2 linked regions of the Cricetulus griseus genome follow. The protein of the gene in region 1 interacts with the protein of each later gene in a pairwise test. Links are inferred from orthologs where the notes say so. Each region holds a gene or a part of one and is shown on either strand. Other genes may lie near its edges. The genes, in order: Fblim1 and Cuta.

Region 1 (3,903 bases):
CCCACCCTGGGGCAATCTGTGGCTTCCTCAGGATAAGAACAGATCCTCATAGTACCGATGGCTCACTATCCATGTGTCTGATCCCCTCGGGTAACCTTGCCTGTCTTCAGCTGTCTGCATCAGGAGCCAGACAGCAGCTCACAGAAGCAGGTATGGAAGCAGAGATCTGTGCAGAGGAAGTACCGCCATGTTGGGAAGGGCATAGAAGCCTCTGGGGCTGAGGTCTAGGCGGGTCACTGGGGGTGAACTGGCCACCGAAGTCCTCCCTGGCACCCAACTATAGCACACCTGGCTAAAAATGTGTCCTTTATCTCCCTTCCTCTTTCTGTATGGGCCACCATGATGCAACTGAAGCCCAGTCATGAGCACTTGGGGAGGAATTTGGTTAGTCTCAAGCAGTGGGGCTGGACCGTTGAGGGGTCACTCTAACGGCAGAGGTGGATCCCACATGGTCACTCACAGATTTGCCTCTGATTCTCAAGGAGCATCAGCCCACATGGACTCTCCTGTTGGCTGACAGAGAAAAAAATACTATAAAATAGCTCTAGGGGCACCAGGCACTGTACGAGCCGCACACTTTTAATCCTAGCACTCTAGTGGCAGAGGCAGAGAGAGGCAGAGGCAGGCGGATCTCTGTGAGTATGAGGCCAGCCTGGTCTACATGGTGAGTTCAAGACAGCCAGGGCTACACAGAGAGATCCTTCGAAAGTATTTTTAAGCCAGAAATGATAATACACACCTGTAATCTCAGCACCCAGGAGGCTGAGGCAGGAGGATTTCCATGAGTTCAACCCCAGCCCCATAAATAGAACTTGTTTTGTAAGTTTTGGTCTTCAGAATTAAAACAGAAACCTTAACAGACATTTACAAAGTCAAGAGCTCAGACCTCACACCTCAGCTGTAGGGAGAGGCTCTGTCACACAGTCCCAACCAGACTGGTCCTCCAGCAGACTTGGAATGCTATCAGAGAAGAGTGCAACCTGGAAGTCCACGGGCATCCTTGAACTTTTTCTTCCCTGGACTGTACAAGTCTCCTCCCCCACCTCAAGTCCCTCCCCTTCCCCCAAACGACCCAACCCAGACCAGTTTCTTGCGGTCAACACATTCTAGGCGGGTCCCCTGGGACAGGCTGTGGCTCTTCCTAACGCTCCCCACCTCCTCCCCGCTAGTCTGATCCCGCTCCATTCTGCCTGCTTTCTCTGAAACGTCCAGCATGGAGGCCAGATGTTCACAGCTGGGCAGCCATACCCGCCCCTATCGGTGACAAGCAGCAGAGGGGACCTCGGGCGGGCCGTGGATGGAGCAGCGCTGGGGATTTTCAGAGCCCTGTCAGGTCCCGTAAGGAGAGCCTGCTGGCTCTTCCCTCTGGTCTCACTGCCCCAGAGTTCACCCTGGAGAGGGGGGAGGCGCAGTATGACTACTTCCCAGCCGACCCTCCACCCCCATCCTTCCTCCCCCGAGGGCAAATCAGACACCCAGATCCAGTCGGGTAAGCGGAGAAAGTGGGAACAAAGGGAAGGAAAGTCATTTCCTGTCAAAAGGAAGGAAGAAGGCTGAGAGCCGGCCAGCCAGCCAGGCCGGCTTTAGGCTACAGCCCCTGGGAAGGGATGTGCTGGCTGCCAGGAGTAGTCCCCTCGTTCCTAGTTCTTTCCTCCGAGTCACTTCTAAGCATCGTTCTTTCTTTCACACAGCCCCACAAAGCAATCTAAGTTTGGAGCCAGAATTAAACTTTGCTGGAGGCGGGGAGGAGGGTGTGTGTCCCCACTCACTCCCACAAGACACCTGGAAGTCTCAAAAAGTAAGGGTCTCTCATCCTCTCTCCTGCTCCAGAGGAGGAAGACGCACAGAGCTGCCTCCTCCCCGGCCACGGCTCCTACTGGGTGACCTTGCTGCAGTCACCCAGCGTCTCTGGGCTTGGTAGTTTAGTCATCAAGTGAATAGCCCTGGAGGGGGCTTCGAGGAGACCAGCTCTGGTCATTCAGCCCCAGAGGGCAGGCGGAGCCCTGGGGCTGGAGGACAGTGGTCTCTATTGTTGAGAGCAGGAATCTGGGCGCTGCCCAGTCTCTCCCCTGGGACCTCAGGTCTGGGCTAGAGAAGGGGGAGTAGCTGCACACACCTTGGGGATCGCTCATTCTCACACCCTGCCAGGAGACCCCTTCCTTCCCGTCCCCTAACTGGAGCTGGGAACAGGGCTCCAAGGCCGTGGGAGCTCGGGACCCCCCCCCACCCACACACACACACTCGCGAGCTCGCCCTGGAGCAGCAGCGGAGCGGGGCAGCTGGCCGGGTCACAGCGGCAATTATAATTCAACCCATGTGCGGAACGCTGTCGTCTTTGTGCAGGAGCTTCCGCCCTGCTAGCCCGTTCCACTTCAGCGCAGGGACAAGAACCCACCGCACCGTCCCGCACTCAACCTCCGGAGTTTTTAAAGGCTGAGATCCTGGGACACACAGGCACAAGAGAACACAGGGATAGTACCCGCCCCGAACCCCCCAGCAGCGCCAGGCTGGGGCCAGCGCCGTGGATGAGAGTTGCCCGTGCGGCCACCTGCGGGTGTCCCTGCCTGGGGCGCAAGGCTGGGACCCCCACGCTGAGCCCACTTACCTGCTGCGTGCCCCATGCTCCGGCCTCCGCTGGCGCTGCGCCTCCGCCCCTCGCTCCCGCCCCGGCCTCCCTCCGCCCTGCCGCCCCGCGCGCCTTACCATAAAAGGTGACGCTCGGGGAGGGGGCGCGGGCTCGCCCTACCTGCCCCCCCACCTGCAGCCGCGCCCCCTCCTTTTGTTTCCCGCCACTCCTCCCCCCTTCCCGTGGCTCCGCCTCCTCCGTCGACCCCTCCCCACTGTGCACCGGGGGATCTTTGGTCACCTTCCCCCTAGGTCACCTGGATGAGCAGCCCCACCTGCCCCATCTGGTGGGGAGGGGTACTTACATCCCGTTTGGCTCTGAGATCCTTCAGGGTCCTGAGTGAGGCTAGACGCATGACTTGGGACTGTTACCCTATCTCCCTAAACCTCGGGTTCTTCAATCCCTAAAAGGGAGTCCCTACTGCCCACCTCTGCAACTTGGCTTGGAGTTAAAGCGATAATGCTAAGAGAATCCGGGACTCGCATAGGCTGGGGTCATGGGCTTTTTCAAGGAATGCCTGGGGCAGGGGCCCCAGAGACCTCAGTGAGGCAAGTCACCTGGGTATGCTGTCCTGAGCTGTCAGTGCCTGCCAGAGCCTATTAATCCTTCCACAAGTGGGTCTCAGGTCCTACGGTGGGGAGGAGGCCCCAACAGGAGACCAGGAGCAGACAATCATGCCACCTGTTTGCTTCCTGGCCCTGTTACTGGCCCCTGAAGAAGCAGAGCCCTGGGGCCTGGGGCCTGGCTTGGGGCTGGGCTGCACAGGTCCCTAGAGGCCTCAGGACATTGCTGGGGAACGGAATCTGGGTCTGATTCCCAGGCGAGCAGATTGTTCTTTTGATTAAAGCCACAATAGGGGAGGGGACAGGGGAGAGCTGGACCCAGAGTCATCGCTGGGACAGGGGCAGCCAGGCAGGATTGGGTCCCCTTCTGCAGCCCACAGCCAATCCACTCCTCACAGCGGTCCTGCGGTTACTGCTGAAGGGACCACCCCACTAAGACATCAGAGTGGGGGTGCTTATCTCCATCCTCTTCCTCCACAACTGAGCCCCACACCCCTTTAACAGCCTTCTCTCCCTCTGTCACCAGCCTTTTCCACTTGGTTCTTCCTGCCAGTGTGGAGTGACAAAGACAGTCGCTACAGTAGCTGCCACCTCTAGAGGCTTCCCCTGTGTCCCTTTCAAACTTTTAACCTTTGCAGCCTCTACTCCAGGACTGAACTGCCCCACCTACAGACCAGACCCTGAAGCTGGTTCGGATCAAGGGTGGTACAATGG
Region 2 (3,448 bases), on another chromosome or scaffold:
CAGACCCAGAGAAAGACACCTCGCCTCCCCCTGCACACTCAACCAATTAATCCCACAGACCCAAACCTAGAGGGGGAGAGACCCCCTCTCAAAAGAAGGAACCCCCCCCCAGGACTCGTAGAATCTCAGAATCCAGACCCACGTTAGCCCTAGACTTCAGACCCTCGATTGGTAGTTAGGGGGACCCAAAACATAGACCTAGACGAAAAGGGAAACCAGTATTAGAAAGAGCCCCAGGCCAGAATTACATGTTAGGACCTAGCCAGAGATGAGAAGCCCCAGATTCATTCGTATGTCAGAGAAAACAAGCTGCACACTTGGGGGTGAGGGGCACATTCGGCTGACCCACAGATGGAGAGAGGGGACCACAAGCGACGTGAAACTCACTGAACCTGAGAGGTCTTAGTGGGTGATCACTGGACTCAAGTCGCAGAAACCACTCCAAAGATAACTCGGACCCCAGCTATAAAACCCCAAATATCGGACCCCCTCCCTACACACACACACACAGGGATCTCTCTGGGACCGGGAGGCCGCCCCCAACTCTACAGGGACCTGGAAGAGCCTGAACTCAGCCTGGGGAAATCCCAGCCAACCACGCCAGGGACCCCGGGCCCTGGCGCTGACACAGGGGTGACATTTAGGAGGCAGAGCGTCACCCCGCCGCGCCGCCTCCTCCCTTCCCTGACCTCTCACTGGCCCCCTCTCCATTTTTGGGTCACTGGGTGTGTGTGGGCCCCAGGGAGGTTATGTAGGGCAGGTCCTGGTTCTGGGGGGCGGATGAAGGTAAGGCGAGCCAAGACTGAGGGTGGGCCGCTCCTGGGGACAGGCTCGCGCGGGGCCCACGCCAGCCCTGGCCTGCCACCTCGTGTGCCCTGGTCTCACGGGCAGGGAGCCCGGCTAGGCCTGGGCTCCCGGCCTCCCACCGCCTGTCTCCCGGGCCCATTTACGGGGCCACTCCTCGGCCAGCCGCGGCTCACACCCGGGGACAGCGGGGACGGCGGGCTAGAGGGGCGGGGCGCTAACGCGGGGCGGGGCGGGGCGGAGGAGGAGGCGGAGCAGGAGGAGGAGGGGGAGGGACTGTTACTAGGCACATTCCGGGCCCGGCCTGAGGCAGCCACGGCGTCACGTGGCCCGCGAGGCTGGCCGCCGATTGGCCTCCGCCCGCCGCTCCTGAGGCGGCGCCGCGTGAGAGGACGAGGGCCGTCACGTGACGGCCGCCGCCGCAGCGGCCCCGCCCCCTCCCCGCCGGCCGCGCGCGAAGGGCTTCACGGAAATGGGCGGGCCACTTCCGCGCACGTCCTCAGTGCTGGTTGTCGATTGGCCAGCGGGCCGTCGGCCCCGCCCCCTCGGGAGGAGGGCCGGGATTGGCCGGATCTGGGCAGGCCAGGCCGCTGCCGTCACGTGGCTGCCGCGCAGGTAAGAGGCGGCGGCCGCCCCGGGCCGGGCGCGTCCCCCGAGAGGCGCGCGAGGGCGAGCGGGCGGCCTGAGATCTGTCTGTCTGTGTGTGTGTGTCTGTCTGTCTGCTCCCTCACTCCACCAGCCCCGCCTGCATGAGCTGGGGGCGGGCGCCCGTCGTCCTGCTCGGCGGAGGGGTGAGTCTGGCCCCGCCCCTTCCGGTCTCCAAGTTTCCCCGGGTTCAGTACCCCGAGATTCCCGAGGGCGGGGAGGGCGGGCGCGGGGCTTTTTCCTCCCGGGGGCACTGGTGGGGACGCTGAGTCCGCCCCTGCGCCCAGGCCACGCTGCTCCTGTCGCTGCTGTGGATGCCCGCGCTGCTGCCGGCGGCTTCCCGCCTTCTCCTGCTCCCCCGGGCCTGGCTGTCAATGGCTTCTGCAAGCCCTCCGCCCCAGTCCTCCCCGGCCTCGGGCTCCGGCTACGTCCCAGGGTCAGTTTCTGCGGCCTTCGTCACTTGTCCCAACGAGAAAGTCGCCAGGGAGATCGCCAGGTGGGCAGCTGCAGGGCAGAGCTGGGCCAGGGGCTGCGCGCGGCCCGGGAGCGGGCTCGGGGCTGCCAGCGTGGCTCCAGGCTGGGCGCACTCTGAGCGGGCTCCCGATCCACCCTCACCCTCAGGGCCGTGGTAGAGAAGCGCCTGGCAGCCTGCGTCAACCTCGTCCCGCAGATCTCCTCCATGTGAGTCGTCAGCCACAAACTTCATCTAACTGCAGGGGCTGACAGCATTTTCAGGGGGGGGGTCTTTCTTTCCCAAGACTTTGTTCCCTTCTCTCTGATCTCTCCAGCTACGAATGGAAAGGAAAGATCGAGGAAGACAGTGAGGTGCTGATGGTGAGAAGATCCCCCTCTTGTCTGTCTCCTTGGACGACCCTAGCCCTCACCTGACGTCAGCTCCACCCCTTGGTTGAACTATGTCTGTCTTTGCCCTTTAGATGATTAAAACCCAGAGCTCCCTGGTCCCTGCTCTGACAGAGTTCGTTCGGTAAGAGCTTTAAGGGTTCCTTTTGTGGTGGCACTGGGGGATGAAGCAGGGACTCGAGCATTTCAGGCAAGCACCGCGTGTTATATAACCCCCCGCTCACTAAAAGAGCACTGGGGTGGACCTTGCTGGGAAGGTCCCGGACTGTTGAGTGGGGGCGTGTGCCTTTGGGTGACTGACTGAATAACCCCAGCCCTGTCACTTCTGCAGGTCTGTGCACCCTTACGAAGTTGCTGAGGTGATTGCCTTGCCTGTGGAGCAGGGAAACCCCCCATACCTGCATTGGGTGCGCCAGGTTACAGAGTCAGTTTCAGATTCTGGCACCACCCCCTCCTCTGCTTAATGCCCTCCGGTTTCCAGGTGATGGTGACTGAGTCCCCAATAAATCCTCCTTTCCCTTGTAACGTAGATGTGGTTGGTGAAGATTCTTGTATTCTGTCCTCAGAATGACCCGTGTCTACTAGGTTTGTTTATTTCTCTTTATTACAGTCATACAGAGTCTGGAATCCTGGACCACCACCCCCATCTCTATACCCAGGGGTTAAATAGTTTTAAAAATATTTTAAAAGCTGTAACAAAATAACATCAAAGGAAATGAGAAGGATGAGGGTCAGGGGTCATGAAGGGGCAGAGAGGAGGACTTCCCCACTCCCCTGGATTCCAGCCTGGGCAGTAGGGAGAACTACTCCCTATCTCTCCAGGTACATCCCAGCTGTAGGTGAGGTCAGAGGTCAGGGCATGAAAGTGCCAGTGTGTGGACGGGGAGGTGGGCAGGAGAGGGCTGTCAGAAGATGCCCCCTCCTCCCCACTCAACTAGGTACTGCACAGAGCCGTCGGGCCGCACCCTCCGAGCGAGGACCCTGACAGGGTCCCCTCGAGACAGGTAGCCAACCCCACCTCGGACTCCTCCCCCGGTCCCTGGAGACAGACTATGGCACAAGGGAGAAGGGGGCACTGAGTGTCTGGAAAGGCCTGGGATGGGAGCTGGGGCTGAGGAGGATGAGGCAGCCATTGAGT

What was found.
Region 2: the proteins of Fblim1 (region 1) and Cuta interact in binary tests that used the Homo sapiens proteins (3 or more experiments, as listed by UniProt). The two-hybrid records come from large-scale screens. The link is inferred for Cricetulus griseus from reciprocal best matches to the Homo sapiens genes FBLIM1 and CUTA.

Annotation. Positions count from the first base shown.
Region 1 is NC_048595.1:11,653,417-11,657,319, reverse strand, and holds the start of Fblim1 (filamin-binding LIM protein 1), read right to left. Parts: upstream 2,667-3,903; 5' UTR 2,606-2,666; exon of another isoform or gene 1,096-2,605; intron 1,024-1,095; exon of another isoform or gene 887-1,023; intron 868-886; exon of another isoform or gene 740-867; intron 1-739. UniProt on the Homo sapiens protein: Serves as an anchoring site for cell-ECM adhesion proteins and filamin-containing actin filaments. Is implicated in cell shape modulation (spreading) and motility.
Region 2 is NW_023276806.1:232,136,657-232,140,104, reverse strand, and holds Cuta (protein CutA), read left to right. Parts: upstream 1-1,355; 5' UTR 1,356-1,419; intron 1,420-1,543; 5' UTR 1,544-1,553; coding exon 1,554-1,595; intron 1,596-1,736; coding exon 1,737-1,945; intron 1,946-2,070; coding exon 2,071-2,130; intron 2,131-2,207; coding exon 2,208-2,283; intron 2,284-2,384; coding exon 2,385-2,434; intron 2,435-2,641; coding exon 2,642-2,774; 3' UTR 2,775-2,839; downstream 2,840-3,448. Other genes in the region: Phf1 (PHD finger protein 1), read right to left, coding at 3,216-3,448. UniProt on the Homo sapiens protein: May form part of a complex of membrane proteins attached to acetylcholinesterase (AChE).